Linked DNA regions of Saccharomyces cerevisiae S288C. The gene in region 4 interacts genetically with the main gene of each other region. Each region holds a gene or a part of one and is shown on either strand. Other genes may lie near its edges. The genes, in order: PKR1, GCS1, APL6 and SYS1.

Region 1 (6,764 bases), on a different chromosome or scaffold from region 4:
TTTTCTGTTATCAAATTCAATTGCTCACCAGATATTGTTATCATCTTTGGCTGAGAGCTATCTTCTCCACTAGTTGATCCGGCGGAAGTTATGTCTCCTCTCCTAGCATATAACGGTTCATACGGTTTGGCTAAAGTATTATCAAAACTGAAGTCTTCTTCTGAAGCATTCATGCCATCCTTATCGTAGCTAACTGGGGCTGATTTTGTTTTGGAGGGTGAACCATCCATATGCGGTACAAAATTATCAGATTCTGAGGCGGAATCAATATTCAACGGCAGCGTATTGGAGATGAACGATCTACGGGAAGAGCTGGACATATGAGAAACTGCTGATAAATGACCATCGCGATTATTTTTTTTATATAGAAAAGTATCATTGTTGATGTTTTCCTGGTTCATGGATATGTTGACATTACTTAGTCTCCTGCCATTGCCATCGGATTCACGTCGCTTAATGGTAGCATCTGAGACATTTCTTTTGGGATCTCTTTCCGGTATGGATTGTAACAAAGAAGCCCTTTTACTAGTATTGAAATCAAAATCGACCTCGTTCGTTGTATTCATTTCGCCATTATCCGAATTTGAGTTATACTTTCCGGGAGAGGGGAATTCTTGTGCGGTCACGTATTCATTGATATCAGTAGAGTTTTCTAGCTTATACATACCTGTTCTGGTATTGATGATTCTTTGCTTGGAGGGAGAATCACTAAATGTGGATGAGAAAGTCGACAAGGACGCTCTATTGGCGACTGCACTTTCACTTTCCAATTTAAGATCTTTTAAACCAGTCTCTAGCGCACTCGCAGGTCTTAAATTTAAATCGTCTGATTCATGTGAAATTTCCTCCTCTTCATTTGCTTCAGTATTTTTCTCAGCTCTTTCCTTTTCTTTTTCTTCTACTAGTGCTTCTCTCTCACGTAAAGATTTTTCCATTTCAGCTAGCTTCCTTTCTTTTTCCTTTAACTCGTTTTGTTGAGGAGTGGATAATTGCAAAACATTCAGTTTTCCCTTGTTTTCAATAGGTTGATCAATGTTCACTTGTTTTTTTAGTGGTGAAGATCCTTGTTTTGTAGAGTTAGGCATTGCTGTAGCATCAGTAGGAGATGACGGAGAGAATGTAGTCAGGGAGTTGTTTTGTACGTTCGGTATTGAATAAGCTGAATTATTCTTTGAGGAAATTGACGATTGACTGATTGGCTGTTTCATGGACACAGCTTTACGATCGTTGTCATTTGGTGACCATGGATTAAACCCTTGGGGAACGTTCTGACTTTGTAGAGACATTGTCCGATAGCCTTCAGACATTGGATGAAGTTGAAGTTGTTGTTGTTGTTGTTGTTGTCTTTGTGATATCTGCTGATGACCTGCGAATGGCCGAGGATTTTGGGGTGAATATCTTGGGCCATTAGTTAATGACAGAGTACGTGGTTGCTGAGGTGGCTGTTGTCCAGAGGGCATTACTGGTGGGGTATTCTGGAATTGACCTGGGTGATTGTTGTAGTTGTTCATCGGTAGCATTCTTTGTTGCTGCGGCTGTCGAAATTGTCCGGGAGGTCCACTCATCAACGAATTTGATCTCGAATAATTAGCGCTCACCATTTTATTCGGTTGAAATCTAGGATGAGGAGTGGGTGCTTGCATTAAAGGATTACCATTCGGGAAACTTTGCAAAGACATTGCTCTCGGAGGCAACGAGGCTAATGTACCATTTTTAGTTTGTTTAGCCATGGCATTCATTGCGGTTTTCCTTTGATTAGTAATGTACTTCCTATACTCAGTATTACTCATATTGCCGCGGTCTTTAGTCACCAATGTTGGAATGATAGGAGTGGAATCACCACCATATCCATATTTGTCACCGCCCTTGTGACCGAAGGTCTGAATGTCATTGAATGTTAGGTCGGAGTTTGCAGAATCATCCAAGATAACCTCATCGTCATCATCACCATCTCCACCACCTCCTGTCCCCTTAGTGTTTTTCTTTGACTTCCCAAATTGATGCTTATGTTTGAAAAAATTGGAAAATGAGCTCTGGGTAAATGAGGAAGCTTTCTTACCATTAACATTATCGCGATTATTGCTTAGTGATGGTTTGGTGAAGTTATGCTGCATGAGGGGAATCTCATTCATATGTGGATTGGAATACTCAAAATTATACTGTTGTTGCTGGCGTTGCTGTTGTGAATAATTCTGCATGGGAATTTGACGTTGTTGAAGTGGCGCTTGTATTGGAGCCTCATTCATGCCATTACGGTAGTATTGCTGCTGCTGCTGCTGCTGCTGCGGCACGGAAGAAGGCTGGATGTTAATATTGCTGTCATTCCCGTTCCTTGAAATAGGTGTTTCATCCCTAATGTCAATATTTCCTATATCATTATTCAAGAGGTTATTTCTCAATTTAACTCTAGCAGAAGACTGACCGTTTCTTGTTGCCATGGTCGATAAACCTGCATCCATTTTGAACTTTTTATAAATAGTCTTTGAGTACTTTTTATCCCACTGCTTTATCGGATCAGGCTGTACCTCTCTGCTCTTTTTGTAGGGTTATTAATAGCTCGGTGAAAATTAATGAAAGAAAGCTCCAAATTTAGCTATAGCCGTAAACTAAAAAAAAAAAAATTAGGAGGGCAGTCACTAAAACAAAAAATCAGAATTCCTATGCAATGTGCTGCTGACACAGTTACTTGAAATGCCTATTTATTCACAATTTGAAGGGTTTGCGATGCTGAAAGAGTTGTTCTATTCAGTCGCACGCGTTAACTCTTTGCATGTGCTTCATTTGTCCATAATTGAGCCCAAAATTTGATTTAAAAAAAAGGAATTTTTGAAAAAAAAAAAATATCAGGGGAGACCCTGAAGCGGACAAAAAAATTTACAATTGCGGACATTTACCCGGAAGCTCTGTGATATACTAATAACAGAGATAATTATGTAGTCAATTATGTATCTGTCTATGCTTTTCTTGACCTAGATTGTGCTTGAGTCCGTCTGGCAGTACTAGTGGATTTCCCGCTTTCTTGCTTGTCTTCGCTGTCTTCCTTGATGGCACTGTCGTCCTTTTTATTGGCATCTTTATCCAGCTCATCATTATCCTTCAATTTGACGTGTGATAATTCGTTTATAAACCAGATAACGGTAATCCATAGTAAAAGTGATATACAGAAAAGAGCATAGAAGTGGATATTCCCGTTTGTGGCATAGATGAGCCAGATGAGGGTCAGTAGTAGTGCAACAAAAGATACGTGTGTGGCGATGATCAGCTGGGGGGAGGTCCCTGGTTCAAATACACTTTCCCACAGTCTAACAAAAAAATTGGCCATTTTGAGAAATTTTCGAAGTTATATCCCTGCGATTTTTGGCACTAATCAATTAGATGGACGTGTTCTTGGATATGACAAAAAGAAAAGACCATCTCTATTTTTCTTCATTTGATTTTCAGTCAAGCAAAAAACGCCGGGTAAACGCAGTCAAAGAAAATTAAAGAACATCTGCTATACCCTACCATGTTCTTAAAATATGAATGCGCTATTCAGGTTCATAGGCAAAGTTTTCACATGTCACTCGCCAAATAAAAATCAAAATTGAAATATATAGGTAAATAGATTGATAAAAAGACGTAATTAATCACCTGTACATCTTCAATTGGAGTTTCTGAGACACCGATATCTAGGACGAAAGAAACAACGGTAAATGATGATACCGTGCTTCGAGCAGACAGGGTCAGTAATCATACCAACAGAAAAATTCTCTTTGGTATAAGTAACGGTGTTACTGCCGGAAATACTCCCGAGAAAAACAGAACCTTCACTGGTTTTAATATTCACCTCAATGTAAGTGATGGTCTGACTTTGCCCTTATAATTAGCAGCAGCAGGAGTGGCGACACCAGAGATTAGGCACTAGTGAGGAGAAGAGATAGTCTGACTGGCCATTTTAGTTAATGGATATATAGTTTCCCATCTATTGAAAGGAGTGGAAACTATAACTGAAAACTGGGTTCTTGAGCAGGAATACTGCTTGTATACTTTTCTTGTATTTCACTGCTTCCTGTCCGATGCGCTAGCACGATGGAGCTCGGCAAAGAAAGACAGAGGAGAGAAACATCCTGAGGATTTTGCTTTGTGCAGAAAAGGTTCCATCCCTGCAATAAGGGTCCTCTTTGCTGCGGAAATTCGAAGAAACGAGATAACCATCCTGGGTTGTAGCGACCTCATCACCACCTAGACCCCTCGGTATGCAGCCAAAATCCATTTGTGTTTGCCTAAGGCACGGAATGGGAAATAAAGTATTTTAGATTGCATACGCATTTTCCCTCTGGGTAGGGAGTTGGTAAAAAAAAAATAGACAGAGTAGATTCGTAATAACTTAAATGGCTAAAGCGTGGGTACATCAGTGCAAACAAATACGATATTACCGTACCAATTGCACACTTCTTGGTAAGAAAAACTGGGAGCACACCTTACCCATAAAAAAGTGCATCGTTATTCCCATGGATAGGAAGAATAAGAATATATCACTCCTGCCTCCAGAATAGTAAATCTGTTTTCTCAGTAAATTATCCCTTTGAAACCTTACTGGATTTGGCTGTCATTGGTCGTAATTGCCCACAATTGAGGTTGCATTCTAAATGTTTCTTCCAATCAAAAATCAGTTAGATAAGTACCTTGGATGCCATTACATCGGGAAGCCCCTTTACTCAGAAGCCCGTTAGTTTCTTGAGTACTCCGATATAATTCCCCTATTTCTACAAATGCTACATAAAAAAATGCTGTGAATAAAGTCGCTAACAACAACTACTTATCGTGACTTGTCTAAAAAAAAAAAAACCTACATTTCAGAGTTAAAATAAATCTAAAGGTGCCACTGGAAAGAGTTATATGCGAGCTCCAGGTTCATATTCAAAAACATGACATCTTACTTTCTCTCGCGGTTGTGACCTCCTTCAATGAATTTGATATTGCTAACCAACAATCATCAATATTTTTGTTTTACCCGTCTTCTCGTTTTCTGAACGTGACACTAGCAATGTCAGACGTTCATTCTCACTTTCTGTCACGTGCTCGCATTGCGAGCAAAAAAAGCCTTACCACCACTCGATTAATCTAATGAGTTGCTGTATTAATAAATAAATTTTTATATTAAAATATATTATAGGAAACATGCAATGGCCCAATTGGCCTAAATATATATAACTCCCACAAGTTCGCCCACCTCTTCATTGGTTTAACTAGGCGTCAACCGCGAGTCCATTATGATATGATTTTTATGTAATTTTTCTGTTAATCAATCGTTCCCTTTGATAGTACAATAAGCAGAAGGAAAAAAAAAGGCTTTTAGAAACTTCTTAAATACCGGTGCCTAGGACGAAAGAAACAGCAGCAAATGCGGCCATGATGATACCGTACTTCGAGGAAACAGGGTTTGCAACCATGCCTGGAGCAGCGTTCTTTGAACTGGAAGTAGTGTTCTTAGCGGCACTGGAACTAGCAGTAGAAGTAGCAGAGACGGAAGAGGCGGCAACGACATTGTTGGAAACTAAGGCACTGTTAGTTTTGATGGAGGAGGAAGCGGAAGCGGAAGTGGAAGTACTGCTGGCCATTTTTATTCAGGTTATTTGCGATTAGGTTGGGGTTTGTGTTTGATGGAGACCTCAGTAATTAACAGTACATTCTGAGAGCGGCAAACAGAATTCTGCCTTAAATTCAGATCGTTTATATACTTTTTTTTCACTTTTTACGCTCGAGACACCATAACCCAAAAATAGATCAAACTAGCCATTGTATTTTTCACCAATATGGCAATGTGATTTCCGCATTAGGCAATACTGTGAAAGACTCTATGCTACGTCAGTTCGGAGGCGTGTTTCGCAATCTTCGCGTTCCAGAACGCACCAACGCGTTGTTATTTGCGCAGCACAAGGGGGACGAGAGACATTCTGGCCAACGTGCATTCGACGGAAGTAAATTTCGGCTGGAGGCTAAGCGCTGCTTTACTGCAATTTGCATCATTACGGTGGCTCGCAGGGATAGATTGGGCGTACTGGTTTGTGGCAAAAACACCGCCTCCACGCTACCTTATTTGCCAGCCAACCGCATATTCAGGTTGCCAAAGGTACAGATCAGGAAAATGTTTCCCATTGGATGCGCAACTTTCCTTAGTAGGGAATATATAATCACTGCATTGCTGGTTTCGTACTGCCATCTTTGCGTTTAAAGTATAACCAAATTAATAAAGCGACTACGCCGCTATCCAAAACAGGCTCCTCCAGCTCCTTTAAGGAAACAAACGTCTTTTTTCTTTACTCTTATTTTTTGCACCGATTGCTAGAATACTTCTCCAATCTCTTCAAATGATGATACAAACATGTAGTCAGTAGAGATGTATCTGTCTTGATGCTCCATATGTCGTTACCCGGAAAACATCTTTCTTGTTCCTTTCGATACTTTTCCACGTTTTCAATTAACCGGAGCCATTGATAATTTCATTCACTCTTGAGAAGTTAGCGGCAATAGTAATCGGCGAAAGCTACCGTAAAGACAGTCACAAATTACCTACCACACAAGCAATGGGAGCCTACAAATATTTAGAAGAATTAGAAAGAAAGAAGCAATCTGATGTTTTGAGATTCTTGCAAAGAGTCAGGGTCTGGGAATACAGACAAAAAAATGTCATTCACAGAGCCGCTAGACCAACTAGACCAGACAAGGCTAGGAGACTAGGCTACAAAGCCAAGCAAGGTTTCGTTATCTACCGTGTCAGGGTT
Region 2 (7,524 bases), on a different chromosome or scaffold from region 4:
AATGACCCATTCGGATTGGAAACAATCTCTCAAAGAAAAGAATCCGTACCCTTTCTACGAAATAGCATCTCACAACATGATTTATCAAACGTAACCACCACACCAGTTCCAGCAGGAATGCCACCTCAGAAGGACGCTGGCAAGTCACTTTTGCTACTAGAAAAGGATGAAATAAATGAAAGTATTTGGAATGGTGATGAATTAGTTAATGATGTTGGTAATTCTTCATTTGGTGCATCTTTACAAGAGCCTCCGATGTCATCTACGCCTGTGATGGAGTGGAATGCTTCCTCAACTGCTAATATTCCTCTTTTTCAATTATCTAGCCAAGAAAATCATCAGTCTAATCTGTTGCCTCCATCCCACCATTCAATTAGCCAGGATGTTCCACATATTCAATCACAACCTAATCTGAACAATTCAGGAGTAATACATTCCGCGACTTCTCTACCGCATTATCACTTATTGAACCAAATTAATGCTTCAACTAAGACACAAAGTATTCAGCAGAGCGTTTCGAATGTTCCTTCCAATTTGGACCTGAATCTCCAAACGGAAAATGGCCACCCACAATCTTCTGCTCCTAACGGGTCTTCAATATTCAACAACCAAAAGGTGAATCAAGGCTTTTTAGTGAGTGAACAAGACACCAGTACAATATCACGACAGAAAGAATGTTCTTCTACAGCTTCTGCCTCTGCATTTTCGAAAAATAACGAAACAAATGTGGCAGGTTCCACAACTATTTCACAGGCTGACCTATCACTACTAGCCAAGGTGCCACCACCAGCCAATCCCGCGGACCAAAATCCTCCTTGTAATACTCTTTATGTGGGTAATCTACCTCCGGATGCCACGGAACAAGAATTAAGGCAATTGTTTTCTAATCAGCAAGGTTTTCGTAGATTATCCTTCAGGAATAAAATGAACTCTCACGGTCATGGCAACGGTCATGGCCATGGTCCAATTTGTTTTGTAGAATTTGAGGATGTTAGCTTTGCCACTAGAGCATTGGCAGAATTATATGGTAGTCAACTACCTCACCCCCGCCCTTCCCTCAACAACAAAGGAGGTATCAGGTTGAGCTTCTCTAAAAATCCATTAGGCGTTAGAGGCTCAAACAGTAGGAGTAAATCTGGTTACAGCTTTAATGGAAGTTACGGGAAATCATGATAGATTTAGTATTGCTTTATTAATTTTCTTTTGCTTTACTTTCTGACCTTCGTTTTTACTTTTTGGATTTTGCAGTTTTTTCATGCTCTACTTATTTAGTTTATGCCATATTTAAATTTATCCCTACAATTATTTGACACTGTTTGTATGTGTGTTCCCTTCTTGAAGGCTGTGCTGAGGAAACTTTGTAGTTGGTACATAAATTTTTGATCAAAAGTAAAAATACCCCCGTTCGGTAACTTATACATTTATTTATTTATTTATTTGCTCAGCTTTGGATTTTGTACAGATACAACTCAATCTCTACCCGATGCAATAGAGGCTAAATCAGTATACGTGTCATTTTTTTTAATTTGGCTCCTTGTGCTCTGTTGTAGAGAATTGATTGAAGATGATGAACCGTTTAGTTTATTCTGATTTATTAGTTTTTCCCTCAATTTCAATTCGTGTGCTTTTCTTTCTAATTCTTGAATTCTTTTTTGTAATTCTTTAGCTGACTGGGCCTCTAACTCTTCCAGTTTTTGTTGTCTTGCTAAAATTCTTTCATGTCTCAAGACATATGGAACGGTTTCTGAAATATTTCTTAACTTGGTACGCTCTGGTAAGTCCGGAGAGTTCAAGAATTTTGGTGAAGATTCTGTTTTGATAGATCTTATCAAATTTTCATTTTCTTGTTTTATTTCTCTACCCAACTGTCTCACGGGAGACATTTCCTGTTCATTTTCTGCTGAATCATGTTCGCCATTGTCTTCGTATTCGTTTTCCTTAAAGTTTCCACTTACTTGGTTTCTTGGTGTGTCCGCTCTCAAATTGTTTGCAAGAGTTTGAGAAGAATTGAATTGACCAGTGCTTATCAAAGAGGCAAAGTTGCTTAAACTTGGAGCATTTGACTGTCTCTTTGTAGAATTAGGACCAATTTCTTCAGCGTTGGCCACGGACGATAGTTTTTCGGAACGGTAATTCTCGTAAAGCAAATTTTGCGTGGTGTCTTTGAATTCTTGTAAGTGAGAACCAAACAGGACGTTTTTTAAAACTTTCAAATCCGAAATTTTGTCGTCGTCGATTGATATTATCCCCCACGGATACTCCCTAACGTATCTACCTTCACTATCTCTGGTATCTGAAGTTATAATAGCAAATGGTTGCAAGGATGCCAAGGCTTGATTCTCTTCCATGGATTCCAAATCATCATCTTCAGGGTCAACCTCAAATTTGTAAATTGGGACGTTGTATCTTTCCACATCAAACATAATATTTTTCCTGAATTGAGTTAGCTCCTCCTTGGTGAATGAGTCAGCTCTTGTTATTATTGGCAGTACATTTGTGTATTTGGAGATGCTTTTCATGAGCTCTACATCGACTTCTCTCAGACCGTGTCCAGTGGGTTCAATAAAATATAATGCTACGTGAACCCTGGTGTCCTCAAACCTCGGATTCCTTTTAATTCTGGTTTCCTCAGCTAAAACAATGTCAAATTGTTGTTCTAAATACGACATAACTTCCTCAGAACACAACGAATCGTCCAAGTTTTCGCCTATACCATGCGTCATAATCAAGTTGAAAAACACGGTATCATCCTCGTTCATTTCTGGCTTTCCTTGATCTTTGTTGCCCCCAAGTTCTAATGAAGTGGAGGTGATGGTAATACCTGGTTCCAAATTGGCTCTCATTGGATCGAATTCAGAAACATAAGATGGAATCCCATTTTTCGAATTAAATGAAACAACTTTTGTCGGAGCAATAACTTTTACTTCTGGGTTAGAGCTAATACTAGCATTTGATTTACCGTATTGATACTTATGCGGAAAGATCTTAGTTTCCAATAGATTGTTAGCAAAGGCGGTCTTTCCTGTACCTGCTGGCCCACATAGTAACATTGTGTATGTGATCCCACGTTTATGTTCTTTCTTTCTACGAAATAAGTTAATTGGCGGTGTTGAAGCAGTGCTCATGATTAATAATATATTTTTCTAGCAATTATAAGCAGATCTTTGGGGCTCTTGTTTTATTATTTCACTTGCTGGGTACATTGATCTTGCTCGAAAGCTTGTTATATTCTTTTCGCAGTTTGGCACTTTAAAAATCGCGCGGTTACCCGCAAGCAACGCCAGTTTTTGTCAAGAACCAAATTGCACAACTATATCAAGAATGAAAGCAGAAATATGGACGTGATTCTGAGTTTAAATGGTGCCAATTGAGCAATTTTATCGCGGATTATAGAGCATGTCAGATTGGAAAGTGGACCCAGATACCCGCAGGCGTCTTTTGCAATTGCAAAAGATTGGTGCAAATAAGAAATGTATGGATTGTGGTGCGCCAAATCCACAATGGGCCACGCCTAAGTTTGGAGCTTTCATTTGCCTTGAATGTGCCGGTATCCATAGAGGGCTTGGTGTGCATATATCTTTTGTAAGATCTATCACTATGGATCAGTTTAAACCGGAGGAACTTCTTCGTATGGAAAAAGGTGGTAACGAACCTTTGACTGAATGGTTCAAGTCGCATAATATTGACCTGAGTTTACCACAAAAAGTGAAATACGATAACCCCGTCGCAGAGGATTATAAAGAAAAGTTAACATGTCTTTGCGAAGATAGAGTATTTGAAGAGCGTGAGCATTTGGATTTTGATGCTTCCAAGTTATCAGCAACCTCTCAAACCGCTGCATCCGCTACGCCTGGTGTTGCTCAAAGTCGAGAAGGGACACCACTGGAGAACCGTCGATCTGCAACACCAGCAAACTCTAGTAATGGTGCCAATTTTCAAAAGGAGAAGAACGAAGCTTATTTTGCTGAGCTGGGCAAGAAGAACCAATCTAGACCAGATCATTTGCCCCCTTCTCAAGGTGGTAAATATCAGGGCTTTGGAAGTACACCCGCAAAACCTCCACAAGAACGGTCTGCAGGGTCCAGCAATACTTTGAGCCTGGAAAATTTTCAAGCTGATCCTTTGGGAACATTGAGCAGAGGATGGGGCCTCTTCTCCAGCGCTGTAACCAAATCGTTCGAGGACGTAAACGAAACGGTTATTAAGCCTCACGTCCAGCAATGGCAATCCGGAGAGTTGTCAGAAGAAACGAAGAGAGCAGCTGCCCAGTTTGGCCAAAAGTTTCAAGAAACGAGTAGTTATGGATTCCAAGCATTTAGTAACTTCACTAAAAATTTCAATGGTAATGCAGAGGATAGCTCTACAGCAGGGAATACAACCCATACAGAATATCAAAAGATTGATAATAACGATAAGAAGAATGAACAGGACGAGGACAAATGGGACGATTTCTAATTTTAATATAGTTTTTCTCAACATTCAAGGAAAGTTCAATTCACATTGTAGCTATAATGGAGAAGTGGTTCTGTAAAGTTTACACGTAATACTTCTGTCTCTAAATTTGTATTTTTCATATCTTGACAAGAAGAGGTTTACTCTCTAGGATTATAAATAAGTCTACACCAGTATTCATAAATAGTTACCACAAGGCCATATCGTAAATTATTATACAACCTATTAATTACAAATAGAATTGCAATCCTTTCCCATCGGCGTTGTTGTACTGTTGCAAGGCTAATGACGGCTATTATTAAAAAATGTTTTAGACCTGGGACAATCGTTATCCTTTTCTTCATTATTTGGATGTTTGCGCCTTAAAATTATCCTGGGCACGAGTGAAACAAAGCTAAAACCTTTATTTAGCATGGCCATTGAATGTAACAATTATATATATCGCAAGCACAAAAAATCAAGGAGAGAGAACTACCACTTTGTTCATGTGTACAATGTTCATTATCTCCATAAGCAAAAAAAAAAAATAGAAAACATATGCTATAAGGTTGATATTCTCACGAGTAAGCGGCACTTGCTACTTATTGACATTGCAGATTTTTGGCTACAGAAATAGTATATTAGAGATTATAATTGCTAATCAAATCAAAATATAAAATTAGTAAACCAAACCATTTATACCCTTCCTTAGTAGTTATGGATTGTTTTTTAATGATATTTCTGCAAACCAAAGAAAGATTGTTATCCAGATAGAATTTAGTTTTGATATTCATTTTTTTGTTGAAGATTGAACGCCATATCTGGGCCTCATAATTCAAAAGACGGTGCCATTATCGGTAGCGTTTCGCATTGTACTGGATTTCAGAAATTTCACAGTTGATGAATCGAAAAGAATGGTCTCATTGCAACACGTAAGGTTAAGATGTCCCTTTTTACCATTATAGGCAATAAATGAATCATAAAACGACCGTATACTGGTGAAATAGTAGGGAGAACGAGTACCTGTAGTAAAAAGTATAAATCATAGTTAATCGGGCAATGTCCCTCGATCAAGGAGTATTGTGTCATGTTCGAGACAAACGCCAACATTTTTGTTTCTTTTGGACAAATGTTGTTTGCATTTATGATCCGTTATATTTTGATCTAATGTAGAGTTGCACGTAGTTCTTACTGGCAAAGAAATCGATGCATACCAAAAAAGAATAAAGGTGATATTTGATCTTTACCGTTTAGTTCCAACGTAAAATTGTGCCTTTGGACTTAAAATGGCGTGGCAGAACTAACTCTTTATTTTTCCAAATCAGAAAAATTAATATGTTTTGCCGCGTTAAAACCTACATCAAAAAAGGCGGATCAAGATGTATGAAAGAAAGTGCGTAGAATAACGAACATTCATAGCTGTTCTGGAGGCTTTACAAAAGGTAATCTTTGTTAGGTGCGATTTTATCCGAAAAGCAATTACTCTCTATGTTAGTCATACAAACTGACTTCTGTGAGAGAATTATTTTCATATCAACGTAAGATCACATGGTTCCTTTATCAAGTACTACTATCATTCCATTATATGACCTATTTACTTCTTGAATCTTAGAGCTCATAATTCAAGCAAGTTGCGGAGCTAAGAATTTCACATGTTGTTGAACTTAACAATCTTCATTATACCCAATCGCTGCGTGCTGGAATTATGTTAAAAGTTACATCCTTTTTTTCATTTTTCCCTACGCTCAGGGCACTGTACTGCCCGTGCCTGCGATGAGATACATCAATTTAAAAAAAAAACCAGCATGCTATAATGCTGGAGCAAAAATTTCAATCAGAAATAGAAAAGACCTCAACAGTAATTAACCCAAAGGGGTATCAAATAATCGATGTGCTTTTTCACTCTACGAATGATCTGTGAGAAACTGATTTGGGCCGAATCGCGTAAAAAGTTTGATTCGTGGCGGCTAATGTCTGAGGGGCTCCAACAGGCTCGTAGAGCCTCGTTTCTTGAGGGCACAAAATGTCCAGGTAATATTCCCAAGAAAGAACCGCAGAGTGCTTTGATAAATCGGTTACAGGTCTTAACGTAGGTTTTGTCTCGCTAATTGCTATTGAGTAAGTTCGATCCGTTTGGCGTCTTTTGGGGTGTAACGCCAAACTTATTACTTTTCCTATTTGAGGTTGGTATTGATTGTTGTCAAAGAATGAAAATATACACAAACGCCACAATATACGTACCAGGTTCACGAAAACTGATCGTATGGTTCATACCCTGACTTGGCAAACCTAATGTGACCGTCGCTGATTAGCGGATCACGAAAAGTGATCTCGATACAATTAGAGGATCCACGAAAATGATGTGAATGAATACATGAAAGATTCATGAGATCTGACAACATGGTAGACGTGTGTGTCTCATGGAAATTGATGCAGTTGAAGACATGTGCGTCACGAAAAAAGAAATCAATCCTACACAGGGCTTAAGGGCAAATGTATTCATGTGTGTCACGAAAAGTGATGTAACTAAATACACGATTACCATGGAAATTAACGTACCTTTTTTGTGCGTGTATTGAAATATTATGACATATTACAGAAAGGGTTCGCAAGTCCTGTTTCTATGCCTTTCTCTTAGTAATTCACGAAATAAACCTATGGTTTACGAAATGATCCACGAAAATCATGTTATTATTTACATCAACATATCGCGAAAATTCATGTCATGTCCACATTAACATCATTGCAGAGCAACAATTCATTTTCATAGAGAAATTTGCTACTATCACCCACTAGTACTACCATTGGTACCTACTACTTTGAATTGTACTACCGCTGGGCGTTATTAGGTGTGAAACCACGAAAAGTTCACCATAACTTCGAATAAAGTCGCGGAAAAAAGTAAACAGCTATTGCTACTCAAATGAGGTTTGCAGAAGCTTGTTGAAGCATGATGAAGCGTTCTAAACGCACTATTCATCATTAAATATTTAAAGCTCATAAAATTGTATTCAATTCCTATTCTAAATGGCTTTTATTTCTATTACAACTATTAGCTCTAAATCCATATCCTCATAAGCAGCAATCAATTCT
Region 3 (8,773 bases), on a different chromosome or scaffold from region 4:
GATAAAAGTGTATCAATTAATATATAGATTTTACTCTGATATAAAAACAAGTTTAAAAAACAATTCTCCCGCTAACACGTTTATACCCTTTCTTTTAGTTGAGTAATTGTGTAGTGTTAAGCTGAGAATATTCATGATTTGATTTCTGATAAATAACTTCTGCTTTATAATAACAAATGTTTAACGTGTTAGCGCCATAATTATATAGAATTGAGGGAAAAAGAAACTGAAAACCAAAAATACCCTGCGTCGCTTGAAATGAGAACAGCACAAATCAATTTTAAAGGAAAAGGTTTCAAAGAAGAATGGCAGCCAACTCTGGTCTCGACTCAAAAGTTGAATATTATCGGCTTCAAGAGAATGAAATTATTAGCGCTGTATCAAGTGAGGATGCAGATCAAAATGATGCGGGCTTTCGATTGAGTACCATCCATTTGCATTTGTTCCATGGATTGAAATTTGCCGCTCTATTGTTCACAGTGGTGCCTGTATTTATAATCCTCGACAGTATGAAGATCATTTTTCAACGCAAACGTAGGTTTTGCCTTGACCATGTCAACAGAAGTTTTTTAAGACAAAGTTCTTGGATCCTCGATGAACGCATCTGTCAATACGTGCTCAATCCTTTATTTGTTTGTTTATATCCTTCTACATTTTCTAGTCCAACATATGTCAAATGCAACATTCCTATAGAAGATCAGAAATCTCCAGAAAACAATATTTTCCAAGACCATCAATTAAACGCACCCAAAATAGTTAGCACAAAGTTTTATCAATATGTTATGCCGGAAGGATTTGACCCCACGACAGATCCAGTTTTAGTATTCTATCATGGGGGTGGTTATGCTCTTAAATTGACGCCTACGTCGTTTTCTTTCTTGAATAATATGCGAAATGCCTTTCCTAAAATGGCCATTCTTGTACCAGATTATACCGTTACAGCTACCGATGACCAGTCGAAAAAGTACCCTCTGCAAATTTTACAAAATGTGGCCATTTTTGATTACGTTGTTAAGACTATGGGGTGCAAAAATGTAGTGATTATGGGGGATTCTGCTGGTGGCAATGCTGTTTTGAACATTGTTTTATATTTAAGAAAGTGTCACAGAGAAATATACCCGAAAAAAGTCATAGCCATAAGTCCCTGGGCCAATGCCACTTTCTTCCACGAGGGAGAAAAGGAATATATGCAAGGAACACAAGAATGGGATGGTCTATGTTTGAAGAGTCATTCGATGTTTGGGCGAATGTTTGTAGGAAACAACCCAAACGTCGATTTTACCAGCGACCCTTTTGTTAATATTGAAAAGAATTTCGAAACTAAAATGTGGCAAGATATTCTGAAAAAGTGCTCTGTGATGATTACTTATGGTAGTGATGAGTTGTTGAGCTTTCAAAACAAGATCTTGGCAAAGAAAATGAGTGACGCTAGCGAGGGATGTAACCACTTTACCGCCAAAAATGTGCTGGTTGAACACCAAGGTTATCATACGGGCCCAATATTAAACTACTCTCGTAATATGGATCGCTGGACCAACATACCATCTATCGCTCGCATTCTTGAGTTTATGCAATCCTGAATTTGTCATAATGACAATTACATAACCCCTTTTATATACATAAATATTTGGGTCAGCACAAATTTATTTTGATTTTCCATTATTTTAGCAGCAACAAGGTTGAAAAAATCGCCGGCGCATCACCAACTTGAAGGACAAAGATAACCTTACTTGAAATCAAATAAGTGATGAATACGACAGCGGAAAAGGTTATACGCTTTGCTCATTATGACGCAAGAATTCATTGATAAAGTATCTTCCTACCTGACTCCTGATGTGGACATTGCACCTATTTCTCAAGGTGCAGAAGCCATTGTTTTCACAACGACTACTCACCCATATCTCCCAAGAGCAAAGGATTCTCATCAAAAGTATATTATCAAATATAGGCCACCAAAGCGTTATAGACATCCACAAATAGACCAGGCACTAACAAAACATCGTACGTTGAATGAGTCGCGTTTATTGGCCAAATTATACTTGATTCCAGGGCTATGTGTCCCTCAACTGATAGCGTGTGATCCATACAATGGATTCATTTGGTTAGAGTTCCTTGGAGAAGATCTTCCCGGAGGGCACGGTTTTAGTAACCTAAAGAACTTCCTTTGGATGCATGACCAAGATCCATATAGTGATCTTGTAGCAACTACACTACGGAAAGTGGGGCGCCAAATTGGGTTGTTGCACTGGAATGACTACTGTCATGGTGATTTGACAAGTTCTAACATTGTTCTCGTGCGAGATGGTGCGAGATGGACGCCTCATTTGATTGATTTCGGTCTGGGCTCAGTTTCAAACCTGGTCGAAGATAAAGGCGTCGATTTATACGTCTTAGAGAGAGCTATTTTAAGTACACATTCGAAGCATGCGGAAAAATACAATGCTTGGATCATGGAGGGGTTCGAAGAGGTCTATCGTGAACAAGGTGCGAAAGGTGCCAAGAAACTGAAAGAAGTTACCAAAAGATTCGAAGAGGTCAGGTTGCGTGGTCGTAAGAGAAGTATGCTAGGATAATATAAATGCTAGCGTACTGCCTGTATATCGCTGCACATAATATGTATCTATAATTTATATTAACGTACATAACTTTTAGGTATGTTACCATCAAAGCGTGTCCGAGTTATTGAGATTTTGACAAATTCAGACAAATCATTTTTGAAGAACCATATATATAAATATATAAAGAAAAGAAAGGTAAACCAAAGACAGCAAACAATCGAAAAGTGGACAACCAGCAATGGTAGATTCAATTCACCGTATTGCATCGGCGTTGGATACGGCCAAAGTAATAACGAGGGAAGCTGCCGCGGTAGCCACCTCTAAGCTGGGTGAATCCTCCTATACTTATTATTCTCAAAACATCAATCCTCAACAGTTAGTCACCTTGTTAAATTCTAGGAACTCTAGAGAAGTTAGAGATGCAATGAAGAGAATAATATCTATAATGGCTTCCGATGATGACTCTATTGACGTTCAATTATACTTTGCTGATGTTGTAAAGAATATCACCACTAATGACACCAAAGTGAAAAGACTTATTCACCTGTATTTACTTAGATTTGCAGAAAATGACCCAAACCTGACCCTGTTATCTATTAATTCTCTTCAAAAATCATTGTCTGATTCGAATTCCGAACTGAGATGCTTTGCTTTGAGTGCCCTTTCTGACATGAAAATGTCATCATTAGCACCTATAATTTTGCATACTGTCAAGAAATTGGTTACAGATCCATCTGCAATGGTTCGTGGTGAAGTCGCCTTGGCCATTATCAAATTATATAGGGCTGGAAAGAATGACTATCATGAAGAATTGTTGGATATTCTGAAAGAATTAATGGCAGATACAGATCCTAAGGTGATATCCTGTGCTGTCCTAGCTTACAAAGAATGTTATGCGGATCACTTGGAGCTATTGCATGGACATTTTCGCAGATATTGTAGAATAATTAAGCAACTAGATTCGTGGTCACAATCATATTTAATTGAGCTGCTAATCAAGTACTGTAAGCAGTATTTACCAAAACCAACTGTGGTCGATAAATCATCAGAAGGTTCCCCAAGGAGTTGTCCTTTACCAGATAAATACAACGAGATTGAATACCCATCTTACGAGGTGGTAAATGACCCTGATTTAGATTTATTTCTACAGAGTTTGAATTGCTTAATTTATAGTTCCAACCCTACAGTGATTTTATCGTGTTGCAATGCGCTATATCAGTTAGCTTCACCATTGCAGATGAAAAATACTAAATTTATTGAAGCATTGGTTAGAACGGTAACCATGACAGAAAACCAAGGTAACAAAGAAATGCTTTTACAAGCAATTCACTTCTTATCGATCTTAGACCAGACACTATTTTTACCCTACACCAAGAAATTTTACGTTTTCCCCAAAGATCCTATTGTGGCATCAATTTGGAAGATCCAAATTTTGTCCACGTTAATAAATGAATCAAACGTTAAAGAAATATTCAAAGAATTGAAATATTATGTTGCCAGTGCTCATTTCCCAGAAAATGTTGTTATTATGGCGGTTAAGTCATTATCTCGATGTGGCCAATTGTCAACGAGTTGGGAATCACATGTAATGAAGTGGTTAATTGATCATATGGAATCCCACAACCTCTCTGCTTCTGTCCTAGATGCATACGTGAATGTTATCAGGATGCTGGTGCAAAAAAATCCTACAAAACATCTTCGCATAATCTTCAAGCTTGCAGATTTATTAACAGTTCAAACGAGTTTGGCTGATAATGCTCGTGCAGGTATTGTTTGGTTATTTGGTGAAATTGCCTCGATTGAATTTAAGATATGTCCGGACGTTTTGAGGAGGCTAATCCAGAATTTTTCAAATGAGGGTCCTGAGACAAGATGTCAGATCTTAGTGTTATCAGCAAAACTGTTGTCATATGACATTGATAATTTTAAGCAAGCGCAAGTTACTGGAAGCGAAGAAAATAACCAAAATCCCCCATACTATGATTTTAGTGGTTCAAGAATCTCTCAAATGTACAATGCGGTCCTTTACTTGGCAAAATATGATGACGAATTTGATATTAGGGATAGAGCCAGGATGATTTCATCCTTGTTTGATTCAGGGAAATATGAAATTGTGTCACTACTATTACAAGCACCTAAACCTACGGCAAGAAGTGACGATTTTATCGTTTCTGCAAGATTGGAAACACATACCCCAGAAATAAAAGAATTTTTTAGAATGCTTCCTTGGAATACTGAAATTACTGAGGTTGGCGAGACAGGTAACGATATTAGAGAAGGCGCAGAATTGAAAGACTATAACAAATACAAAAAAAGTTTTTCATCGCAGTCTTTTATTACCAACAACTCAGCAAGATCTTTCACATCTAGCTCCAACGCAAAATTGACTGGGATCAATGACGGCGATAGCAATAGCATCTCAGGTAAAGGTAACGTAAACACCTTCACATCTCAAAACGGGAAGAAATATCGTTTGCAAAGCCTGGACGAGTTTTTTTCCGACATTCCAGAAAGGAAGAGTAAACCAAGGAAAATTATAAAGGTGGTGGAAGAAAGCAGTGACGAGGATGAAGACGAATCGGAAGAGAGCAGTGACGATGATGAGTATAGTGACTCTTCTTTGGGAACGTCTTCTTCGGGAACGTCTTCTTCGCATCTGGAGCTTTAGAACTCGGAGATAATACTATATAAATATGTATATTTATAGATATAGATATAGGCATGTATATCTTCCCAGTAATATACGTGTTTGGGACGAAAACAAAAGAGAAGTTGGTAAACAAAGTTTCATGTGAATTTGCTTAGTACAAAAATACATACAAATATAAAAGAAAAGTTACAAATTGCAAACACACTCATAACGAGGGGCAAAAAAAGTGGAGGGTGAAGAAAGTCAAGCCTAATACATGTACTTAAACTCAGGGTTTTTGTCGCTTAACCTTTCGTCGTATGGAATAGGCTCTCCCAATTCATTACAGCGATCTATTATTGCTTTCTTTTTATCGTTTTCCCTCTTGTATAGGAAAATTTGCACAACCGTCATAAATATGGAGAAGACTTGAAAGGCCAGACTAATCGACAGCCCTTTGATATATCTTGGCTTGTCTTTGGCAACAAAAATTTGACCAGAGACCAACCCTGAACCAGACCCGAAAAATAGATTAATTCCTAAAGCGGTGGCTCTCTTGAAGTAATTACCAGTGTTACCACTTAACCATAAACAGTTACAGGCAGCATTAACGTAAATACCCATACAAAGAATGTAAACGCCAAAATATCTCACACCATGAACTTGAGAACCAAGGACGATAGCTATGCCTATCGAAGTCGTCAGACAAGCACCCAGGATGAATGGAGATCTCAACTTTATACGATCAGACCAAACGGCACAAATGAAGAACACAATTGCTGTAAGGAAATAGATGGGCACGGTCATTAATTGAGCTCTGACATTAGTGAACCCCATACTGGTAATGATGATCGGCAAGAAGACTGTTAGACCAAAAGTAGTCAAATCGATACCGAATAATGCCACAGCACTAGCCCAAGTCTTGACATCCTTAACTGCTTGCCACACTTGGAACCATTCAAATTTTTCGTCCGGGTCAAAAGTGTTCATAGTCTTGTATCTTTCGGAAATGTACTCTTTTTCCTCCTTATTGAAAAACCACGAATCCTCCAAATTTTTGCTCAACCCGAAGGCATAGAATGGTACGAACCCCAAAGAGATACAACCTTCGACAATGTAAATGTATTGCCAGTCCTTTAGAGAACCGCTGATTTTGGAACAACCATAAGCAATCAGCCCACCAAAAGATGAAGACAAACAGGCTGCACTGAAGACAAAAGCGAACCTCAGAGCATATTGTTCTCTTCTATAGCAGACTGAAAGGTACATGTTAATAGCGGGATAAATCATACCTTCAAAGGCACCCAGTAGTAGTCTGACAACGATCAATTGAGCATAATTCTTAACCCAAGCAGTTCCGAGCGAAATAGCACCGAAACAGGTCAAACAGATACTCATCATTAATGGCGGACCCATAATTTTCAGAAGGTTAGTACCTATGGGGTCGAAAAGAACATACGTCGCGAAAAAAACTGTGACACATGTGTTATATTGCGTTCCTACAAGGTGGATATCCTTGGATAGACCTGCAACTTCTGCGTTACCAATATTCGATTTATCCAGGTTAGAAAGGAAATATAGCATCCCCATAAGAGGAATCAAGTATATATCCATTTTGCGCAAGACACGCTTTTCCATTGGATGGGAAGGGGAGGGGATGCCGTCATCATCCGTGGTAGTAGCCATAATTTCCCGTTCGGTGGCAAGTTCCGACTTCTTGTCATGGCTGCGATTATGCAAGCTAGCGTCATGGCCTTCATCTTCCTGGAACGTGACTTCCGTAGGCTTTTCTTCTGATCCATCATTGGTGGGTGATATGAAAAGCACATCATCCACCAAATGCTTAGGTGACTCCATTGTAAATTTGTTGCTCATCTAGAGGTAATGACAATAGTTCAATGCTCGAAAGTGAAGAAATATTTCTTTTTTTTTTTATATAAGCCTTCTGCGCAGTCGTTTTTTTTTCAGTCGCTGTCTCACGGGGGAAAATAGTTTGAAAAAGGCGAAGAGGGGGAAAACTGTGATGTGAATACGACTTCTAAGACAGTAAATATGGACGTATGCTTATAGCTTGGAGAGTTAGTTAATATAGAGAAATATAAATAGTAGATAAGAAGTACATATGAAACAAAAAAAAAATGGCAATAAAATAACAAAAGGATCTCGAGTAGGAACATACTTCAAAGAAAGGAAAACTCATGGTTTATATATTATCCAGAATTTTTAACGTAATCGGAGATGCGACAGATATTTCAGGGTGTATGGATGAGGTCAAAACAATACTAATCACACACGCCGCGAAGCCTTCGACGGTTCGTAACCTGTCCTCATGTGTGACGCATAGGATTCTACGGTAGATCCCGAGTATGCCCGGCTGTGATTGGTAACTATGATTGCGAGTAATAAGCGATCCGGCGTCCGGTGGTATTTTCTATTTTGTTGGTGCGACCGCTTCTTCGCAGAGAATGGGTGACTTGTAAAAGGAGAGAGACACTGGAAAAACCAACAGAATACGAGCAGGAAACTAGAAAATAAAAAACTAAAAAAAAAAAAAAACAAAAAGGAAAGGAAAAATTAGTAGAAGCCGGCGACGATTGCAGAATCCAGAGGGATACCGCTGTAACAGAGAATACGGGCACCCAGACAAGTGACTGGCGCCAGACTTTGTTATTTCACCTGGACCCGAATAATAATATTAAATAGTGATAATAATAATAACATATAGCATAAATAATAATGTACAAAATAATAATAATAAATAAATAAATGGTTCACCATGGACTGTACAGGCGTTCCGGAACGCACATAGTGACAGTACAAGACCTGGTTGTGTGCCATAATGGCCGGCATGTGAAATCGCGGCTTCTGTATATGTACATATCTGTTCTTTTACCATGTCGTCCATTTTCCGTTCACTTTAGCCAACACGGCGACGTTGTGCGGAATTGATTTGAAGTCGATTTTTTCTATGGAGTATTCCCAAACTGCCCCCAAATTTTGCAAATTAGTGCGCGGGGTGAATGGGTGCGTCAGAGCATTTACTGACACCTGGCGGCATAAGCAGCGACGTATCGTGTCCAAGGCAGGCCATAGCAAGAGCGTTTGTGATTGATTTTCAAGGCGCAGATACCATTGGAACACAGTAGCGCAGAAGGTACTCCTCAAAAGAGACAGAGAGAGAAATCAGAGTCAGGGAGCTTAGTAGCTGCTGTTACCAATATTATACAATAAGTAAGGTTTGCATATGCGGAAACTTCGCACTTGAATTTTTTTTTTTTTCTTTTTTGGTAGCTTTTTGATGTTTCCAGAGGATGTGAGTCAATGAGTGGTGTGACCCCAATACCACATTTTGTTGCTGTTTTTTTTTTTTCATTGTTAATTATCACTATTTTTTTTTCTTTCTAGTATAACCCATTCGAACCTCCGTGGAGGCATTAAAAGGGAGAGTGAAAAAAAAAAAAAGAAAAGAAAAAGAAAAGATGCCGCCACATATAGAGACCTTAAAGGGATTGAAAAACTGTACGTAAATCATTGAAGGTTCTACACGTCATCCATGAAGAAAAGCATTTTCGGGAGAACGCCAAAC
Region 4 (7,155 bases):
ATACATCTTCCTGCAGCGATTCCTCTTCGTACACTAACGCGTATATGGAGGCCAACCGAGAGCAGGATAATAAAACACCGATCCTGAATAAAACGAAATCGTATACCAAGAAATTTACATCCTCTTCGGTAAATATGAATTCACCAGATGGTGCCCAGAGTTCTGGATTATTACTACAAGATGAGAAGGACGATGAGGTCGAGTGCCAACTGGAACATTACTATAAAGATTTCAGTGATTTAGATCCAAAGAGGCACTATGCTATTCGTATATTCAATACTGATGACACTTTTACGACTCTCTCATGTACTCCAGCGACTACCGTCGAAGAGATAATACCTGCACTTAAAAGAAAATTTAACATTACAGCGCAAGGGAATTTTCAAATTTCCCTGAAGGTGGGAAAGTTGTCAAAAATTTTGAGACCAACTTCGAAACCTATTTTAATTGAAAGAAAACTTTTACTTTTGAATGGTTATCGAAAGTCAGACCCACTTCATATTATGGGTATAGAGGATTTAAGTTTTGTTTTTAAGTTTCTTTTCCATCCTGTCACACCTTCTCACTTTACTCCTGAACAAGAACAAAGAATAATGAGAAGCGAATTTGTTCACGTAGATTTAAGGAATATGGATCTGACTACACCTCCCATCATTTTTTACCAGCATACGTCAGAAATAGAAAGTTTAGACGTTTCTAATAACGCAAATATATTCCTACCTCTGGAGTTCATTGAAAGCTCGATTAAATTATTAAGTTTGAGAATGGTTAATATTAGAGCATCTAAATTTCCTTCCAATATCACTAAGGCGTATAAACTAGTATCTTTGGAATTACAGAGAAACTTCATAAGAAAAGTACCGAACTCAATCATGAAACTGAGTAATTTAACGATATTAAACCTTCAATGTAATGAGCTTGAAAGCCTACCGGCTGGATTTGTTGAACTGAAAAATCTGCAATTGCTAGACTTGTCTTCAAACAAGTTCATGCACTACCCAGAAGTTATTAACTACTGCACCAATCTTTTACAAATAGACCTATCATATAATAAAATCCAAAGCTTACCACAGTCCACTAAGTACCTAGTAAAGCTTGCGAAGATGAACCTTTCTCATAACAAACTAAATTTTATAGGCGACTTATCGGAAATGACAGATTTGAGGACGCTGAACCTAAGATATAACAGAATATCATCAATTAAGACAAATGCGTCTAACTTGCAGAACCTTTTTTTAACAGATAATAGAATTTCGAACTTTGAAGACACTTTGCCGAAACTAAGAGCCCTTGAAATTCAAGAGAATCCAATCACTTCTATATCCTTCAAAGATTTTTATCCAAAAAACATGACAAGTTTGACGTTGAACAAGGCACAGTTATCGAGTATTCCTGGAGAATTACTCACCAAACTATCTTTCCTCGAGAAACTTGAACTTAATCAGAATAATTTGACTAGACTGCCACAGGAGATATCCAAGTTGACTAAATTAGTTTTCCTTTCAGTGGCGAGAAACAAACTAGAGTATATTCCACCCGAGCTATCTCAACTGAAAAGTTTGAGGACATTAGATCTACATTCTAACAACATAAGGGACTTTGTTGACGGTATGGAAAACCTTGAACTAACATCGCTAAATATTTCATCGAATGCATTCGGTAACTCTAGCTTAGAAAATTCTTTTTACCATAACATGTCATATGGGTCAAAGTTATCTAAAAGCCTGATGTTTTTTATTGCTGCAGACAATCAATTTGATGATGCTATGTGGCCTCTTTTCAATTGCTTTGTCAATCTGAAAGTGCTAAATCTTTCTTACAACAATTTTTCAGATGTATCGCACATGAAACTTGAGAGCATTACCGAATTGTACCTCTCCGGTAATAAGCTCACGACATTGTCGGGTGATACAGTTTTGAAATGGAGCTCTTTAAAGACTTTAATGTTGAATAGTAACCAAATGTTATCTCTGCCTGCAGAATTATCAAATCTCTCACAGCTAAGTGTATTTGATGTTGGAGCAAATCAATTAAAGTATAATATATCAAACTATCATTACGATTGGAACTGGAGGAATAATAAAGAACTAAAATATTTGAATTTTTCAGGAAATCGAAGGTTTGAAATAAAGTCATTTATAAGTCACGATATTGATGCTGATTTGTCAGATCTGACAGTATTACCTCAGTTAAAGGTACTAGGTTTAATGGACGTAACTTTAAATACTACCAAAGTACCGGATGAAAATGTCAATTTCCGTTTAAGGACAACTGCATCAATAATAAATGGGATGCGCTACGGTGTTGCTGATACATTAGGTCAAAGAGACTATGTGTCATCTCGTGATGTTACCTTTGAAAGATTCCGCGGAAATGACGACGAATGCTTACTATGTCTTCATGATAGTAAAAACCAAAATGCAGATTATGGCCACAATATATCAAGAATTGTTAGAGATATTTACGATAAAATACTGATCAGACAACTGGAAAGGTATGGAGACGAAACAGATGATAATATAAAAACTGCACTTCGTTTCAGTTTTTTGCAACTGAATAAGGAGATTAACGGAATGCTAAATTCTGTTGATAATGGTGCCGATGTTGCCAATCTTTCATATGCAGACTTGCTAAGTGGCGCTTGCTCTACTGTGATATATATCAGAGGGAAGAAACTCTTCGCTGCAAATTTAGGTGACTGTATGGCTATTTTATCCAAAAACAATGGTGACTACCAAACGCTAACCAAACAACATCTCCCAACAAAGCGGGAAGAATACGAGAGGATCAGAATATCTGGCGGGTATGTCAACAATGGAAAATTAGATGGTGTTGTAGATGTGTCTAGAGCAGTGGGTTTTTTTGATTTGCTTCCCCACATTCATGCTTCTCCCGACATATCTGTCGTGACATTAACAAAAGCAGACGAGATGCTTATTGTAGCAACGCATAAGTTATGGGAATACATGGACGTGGATACAGTTTGTGATATCGCGCGTGAGAATAGTACTGATCCACTCCGTGCCGCAGCTGAGTTGAAGGATCATGCCATGGCTTACGGCTGTACAGAGAATATTACAATTTTGTGCCTTGCTCTTTACGAGAACATTCAGCAACAAAATCGGTTCACTTTAAATAAAAACTCTTTAATGACTAGAAGAAGTACTTTCGAGGATACTACATTAAGAAGACTTCAACCTGAGATTTCTCCGCCAACAGGTAACCTAGCAATGGTCTTCACTGATATCAAAAGCTCAACCTTCTTATGGGAGCTATTCCCTAACGCAATGAGGACCGCAATAAAAACTCACAATGACATTATGCGTCGTCAACTACGAATTTACGGTGGTTACGAAGTAAAGACAGAAGGAGACGCCTTTATGGTGGCATTTCCTACGCCAACTAGTGGTCTGACATGGTGCTTAAGTGTTCAATTAAAACTCTTGGATGCACAATGGCCGGAGGAAATTACCTCAGTTCAAGACGGCTGCCAAGTTACGGATAGAAATGGTAACATTATCTATCAAGGCCTATCAGTTAGAATGGGTATTCATTGGGGCTGCCCAGTTCCAGAGCTTGATTTAGTGACTCAAAGAATGGACTATTTGGGGCCGATGGTCAATAAGGCAGCAAGGGTCCAGGGCGTCGCTGACGGTGGTCAGATTGCAATGAGTAGTGATTTTTACTCTGAATTCAACAAGATAATGAAGTATCATGAGCGAGTAGTGAAGGGCAAGGAATCTCTCAAGGAAGTTTATGGTGAAGAAATTATCGGAGAGGTTCTTGAAAGAGAAATTGCCATGCTGGAAAGTATTGGTTGGGCATTTTTTGACTTTGGCGAGCATAAGCTAAAGGGACTCGAAACCAAAGAACTCGTTACTATTGCGTATCCTAAGATTCTTGCTTCCAGACACGAATTTGCATCTGAAGATGAGCAGTCAAAATTAATCAATGAAACGATGTTGTTTCGTTTAAGAGTCATTTCAAACAGACTGGAATCTATAATGTCAGCTTTAAGCGGCGGATTTATTGAACTAGACTCTCGGACGGAGGGAAGTTATATTAAATTTAACCCTAAAGTTGAAAATGGTATTATGCAATCGATTTCTGAGAAGGATGCGTTGTTATTTTTTGATCATGTAATTACTAGAATCGAATCCAGTGTGGCATTATTACATTTACGACAACAGAGGTGTTCAGGACTGGAAATTTGCAGAAACGATAAAACATCTGCTCGAAGCAATATTTTCAATGTTGTTGACGAACTTTTACAAATGGTTAAGAACGCAAAGGATTTATCAACTTGAGTTCTGTTCGTAAATTATGTACCACCCTGTTACTCGTTTCATATTCACGCTAGAGAAGTACCTCAGCTTACTAGATCCATTCACACATTGCAAGTATACTAAAACTATATAAAATTTAAGTACGTAAACTCTTTACTTATTATTATCTTCAATGTCATCACGTACTTAATTATGTTAAATATAGATTGTGTATAAATAAGAAATAGGATCTGTTTTGAAAAATTGGCCAAAAAGGCAGATTTATTAAGCCTATAGAGATAAGGTTCTTGCCATTTTTCATACATTTACTGTTTTCTCTTGAATGACTATAATATTGCCAAAATTGCCTCGAATATGTTGTTTCATCTCCTCTCATATTTGGCTTTCTAAGTCTTTTAGTTGTATTGGTGATTGCTCCAATTCTGAATGATTACTATGCTGCTGACTAGGCGTAACCAATCCAACTTCTCCTTCATTAGGATCAACCAAGCCCTCAAAAAAGGTGTCTCTAAGCTCTCTCCATCTTGTTGTCCATGTCCCCAAAAATATTAGTATTAAAGATGATAAAATTTGAAGAAAAAACCAAGAAAAAGAAGGAAATTTCCGAGTATAGAGGAACACCACAATAAAATTGATGGCATGTATAGTGATAGCAAAATCCCATGCGAGTTTACTCCGTCCAACGATAACAGTTAAGAAAAAAACACATATTAATGAATCCAGAAGCCATAACAGTGAGATTGATAAACCGTATGCGTTCGTAAAGTCGATATTCTCCCAAGAAAACAGCCATTCCTTGATATTGAGATCATATCCCGCTAGCTTCGCCCAACAATAAAAAAGAACGATCGCTGTGGTGTAATAAAAAATCTGTAAAAGAACAATTTGAAGTCCAATCTTACTTGGAGAGAGAGAATCTTGTTTGAAGATCTGGGAAGGTTTCAACTCATTCGGCACTCGCAAATACCTTCTTATCGAAACCATGTTACAGTAATTCAAATGCCTATTTTTTATCTCACTTCTATGTGTACCCTTCCTTAGCCTTCCTAAAGATCATCTCTTAACATGAAGTTACAGAATATTACCGTGAATATCGCGAGCTACGAATATTTTGGGTGGGGAGATATTTATTCATGATTAGCCTTGTCCTATAGTGTTACAATGGAGCAAATTGTTCACCGTTAGTATTTTGAATACGACAATATTAAATGAATAATAGCGCCTATCTCTTGTTACGTTTGGCGATTTGTATACCTTGTTAAATAAACTGATTAAAAGCCGGGTTATGGCCGTACACAAGTTATTAGAAAGCAAATACACTTCCTTATATCTGGTCACCTAGTTAATAAAAGGAAGTCTTTAATTTTGGCAAAAACCACTATATATATTAGTCAACAACTGAAATATTACCAGAATTTGTCTCCTAAATGTCGTTCAGCGGAAAAAAATTTAGGTCTAGAAGACAGCAGCTAGTATATGAAGCATCTTTAGCGGGGCGATACAAAAAAGCATTGAGTAAGCACCCCTTTCTTTTTTTTGGTTTACCATTTTGTGCAACAATAGTATTGGGTTCGTTTTGGTTGTCAAGCTTTACAGCGATCAAGTACGAGCAAGGCGATCGTAAAGTTCAGGAAATTAATGAAGAGGATATCTTGAAAATAAGGAAGAATCAAAGGGAATTTGATATTAAAGAAGAATATTATCGTTTACAAGGTCTTTCTGAAGAGGATTGGGAGCCTGTGCGCGTCGCTAGGTTAAAGGATGAATCTGAGAATGTCTGGTAACATTCAAAACGTGAACATCTTTGTTATTCTTCTGTCCTTAAACTACTAAACAAAAAAAACTATGACCATTGATTGTGCAAAGAAAAGACCACGAGAATGTCTAGGAAATGATTGTAAATACCTTTATTCATTGGAAAATTCTTATCTATAAAACTTATAAAAAATTAAATACTGAATTTATTGCTCTGCATCATAAGGTATATATCATTCAAACGTGAACTCAGTTAGTTACGTTCATGTTCAAAGTTTTTAAGACAAAAACTCCCATTAGTGCGGTGAAAATATAGCAAGCAATAGACAGAGGCTTCTTGAAAAAAGAGCTTTTCGGGTAGTCGTACTTTATCAAGACTTGGCCATTGGCAACTTGACTAATCAAATTTCTGTAACTGAAAGTTAATTTAACGTGACCTTTATTTAGGTCAAAGTATGATTTCTGGGTTTCTATAGAAACATTTGTAAAAGGGACTGGAGAATCAATATCGAATATTTCGGCCCCTTCCGGAAGAAATACCGATAATTCAACATTATCATATACAGTGTCCGGTGGGCCGTTTAGAATTGGGATAGAAGCAACGAATTTCTCGTCTGAGCCAGAGGATACATGCAAGAAATCGGACAATTTATTAGTCCAACCGACAGTAAAATTGTAGTTCCAACCTCCAAAGATTGGGAATCTTGGTCTTATAAAGAAATGGTCACGTTCTGCATGCGACGTGGAAACAAGGCCAACCAAATCAGTGAAATAATGATCAGTAGCTCCCTCAGGCAGGAGCATGTCTAAGACAGTAACAAAGTGAGTTTGTCTCATATTCTGAGTTTGAATCTGTTTCATTAATTCTAATCTTGAAAATCCTTTAGACAGTTTTGCGGCTTTGTTTGTTAATTCATAATATTCCTCAAATTGTATTGTGGAAGCCCAATGAGAAAGCCAAATATCTCTTCTCAAATTCACTACCTGATTCAATGGGGCATTGTGGGAATAAACAATTGCTAAGGTTTCGTTTGAAGAAAATCTCGGAATATCTTCCCAAGGCCCAAACTCAAAAGAGTTTCCATTAGCTTTTCCCAGTAAACTCTCGTCATTT

Evidence for each region.
Region 1: mutations in SYS1 (region 4) and PKR1 together harm fitness more than expected from each alone (negative genetic interaction), as found in Saccharomyces cerevisiae (4 studies listed by BioGRID).
Region 2: mutations in SYS1 (region 4) and GCS1 together harm fitness less than expected from each alone (positive genetic interaction), as found in Saccharomyces cerevisiae (4 studies listed by BioGRID, with this or other methods).
Region 3: mutations in SYS1 (region 4) and APL6 together harm fitness more than expected from each alone (negative genetic interaction), as found in Saccharomyces cerevisiae (4 studies listed by BioGRID).

The regions. Positions count from the first base shown.
Region 1 is NC_001145.3:510,151-516,914, reverse strand, and holds PKR1 (Pkr1p), read right to left. Parts: upstream 3,323-6,764; coding exon 2,954-3,322; downstream 1-2,953. Other genes in the region: EPO1 (Epo1p), read right to left, coding at 1-2,459; NCW1 (Ncw1p), read right to left, coding at 5,346-5,600; YMR122C (uncharacterized protein), read left to right, coding at 5,840-6,214; 60S ribosomal protein eL15 RPL15B, read left to right, coding at 6,567-6,764. UniProt on the Saccharomyces cerevisiae protein: Functions together with the other V-type ATPase assembly factors in the endoplasmic reticulum to efficiently assemble the V-type ATPase membrane sector V(0).
Region 2 is NC_001136.10:48,046-55,569, reverse strand, and holds GCS1 (GTPase-activating protein GCS1), read left to right. Parts: upstream 1-3,396; coding exon 3,397-4,455; downstream 4,456-7,524. Other genes in the region: WHI4 (Whi4p), read left to right, coding at 1-1,173; septin SHS1, read right to left, coding at 1,470-3,125. UniProt on the Saccharomyces cerevisiae protein: GTPase-activating protein (GAP) for ARF1 and ARF2. Involved in intracellular vesicular transport. Required for transport from the trans-Golgi network.
Region 3 is NC_001139.9:1,010,774-1,019,546, reverse strand, and holds APL6 (AP-3 complex subunit beta), read left to right. Parts: upstream 1-2,796; coding exon 2,797-5,226; downstream 5,227-8,773. Other genes in the region: SAY1 (steryl deacetylase), read left to right, coding at 306-1,580; serine/threonine protein kinase BUD32, read left to right, coding at 1,788-2,573; TNA1 (Tna1p), read right to left, coding at 5,458-7,062. UniProt on the Saccharomyces cerevisiae protein: Part of the AP-3 complex, an adaptor-related complex which is not clathrin-associated. The complex is associated with the Golgi region as well as more peripheral structures.
Region 4 is NC_001142.9:426,931-434,085, forward strand, and holds SYS1 (Sys1p), read right to left. Parts: upstream 5,271-7,155; coding exon 4,659-5,270; downstream 1-4,658. Other genes in the region: CYR1 (adenylate cyclase), read left to right, coding at 1-4,307; COX16 (Cox16p), read left to right, coding at 5,714-6,070; dolichyl-diphosphooligosaccharide--protein glycotransferase subunit OST1, read right to left, coding at 6,291-7,155. UniProt on the Saccharomyces cerevisiae protein: Necessary for the targeting of ARL3 to the Golgi. Involved in protein trafficking. May serve as a receptor for acetylated ARL3.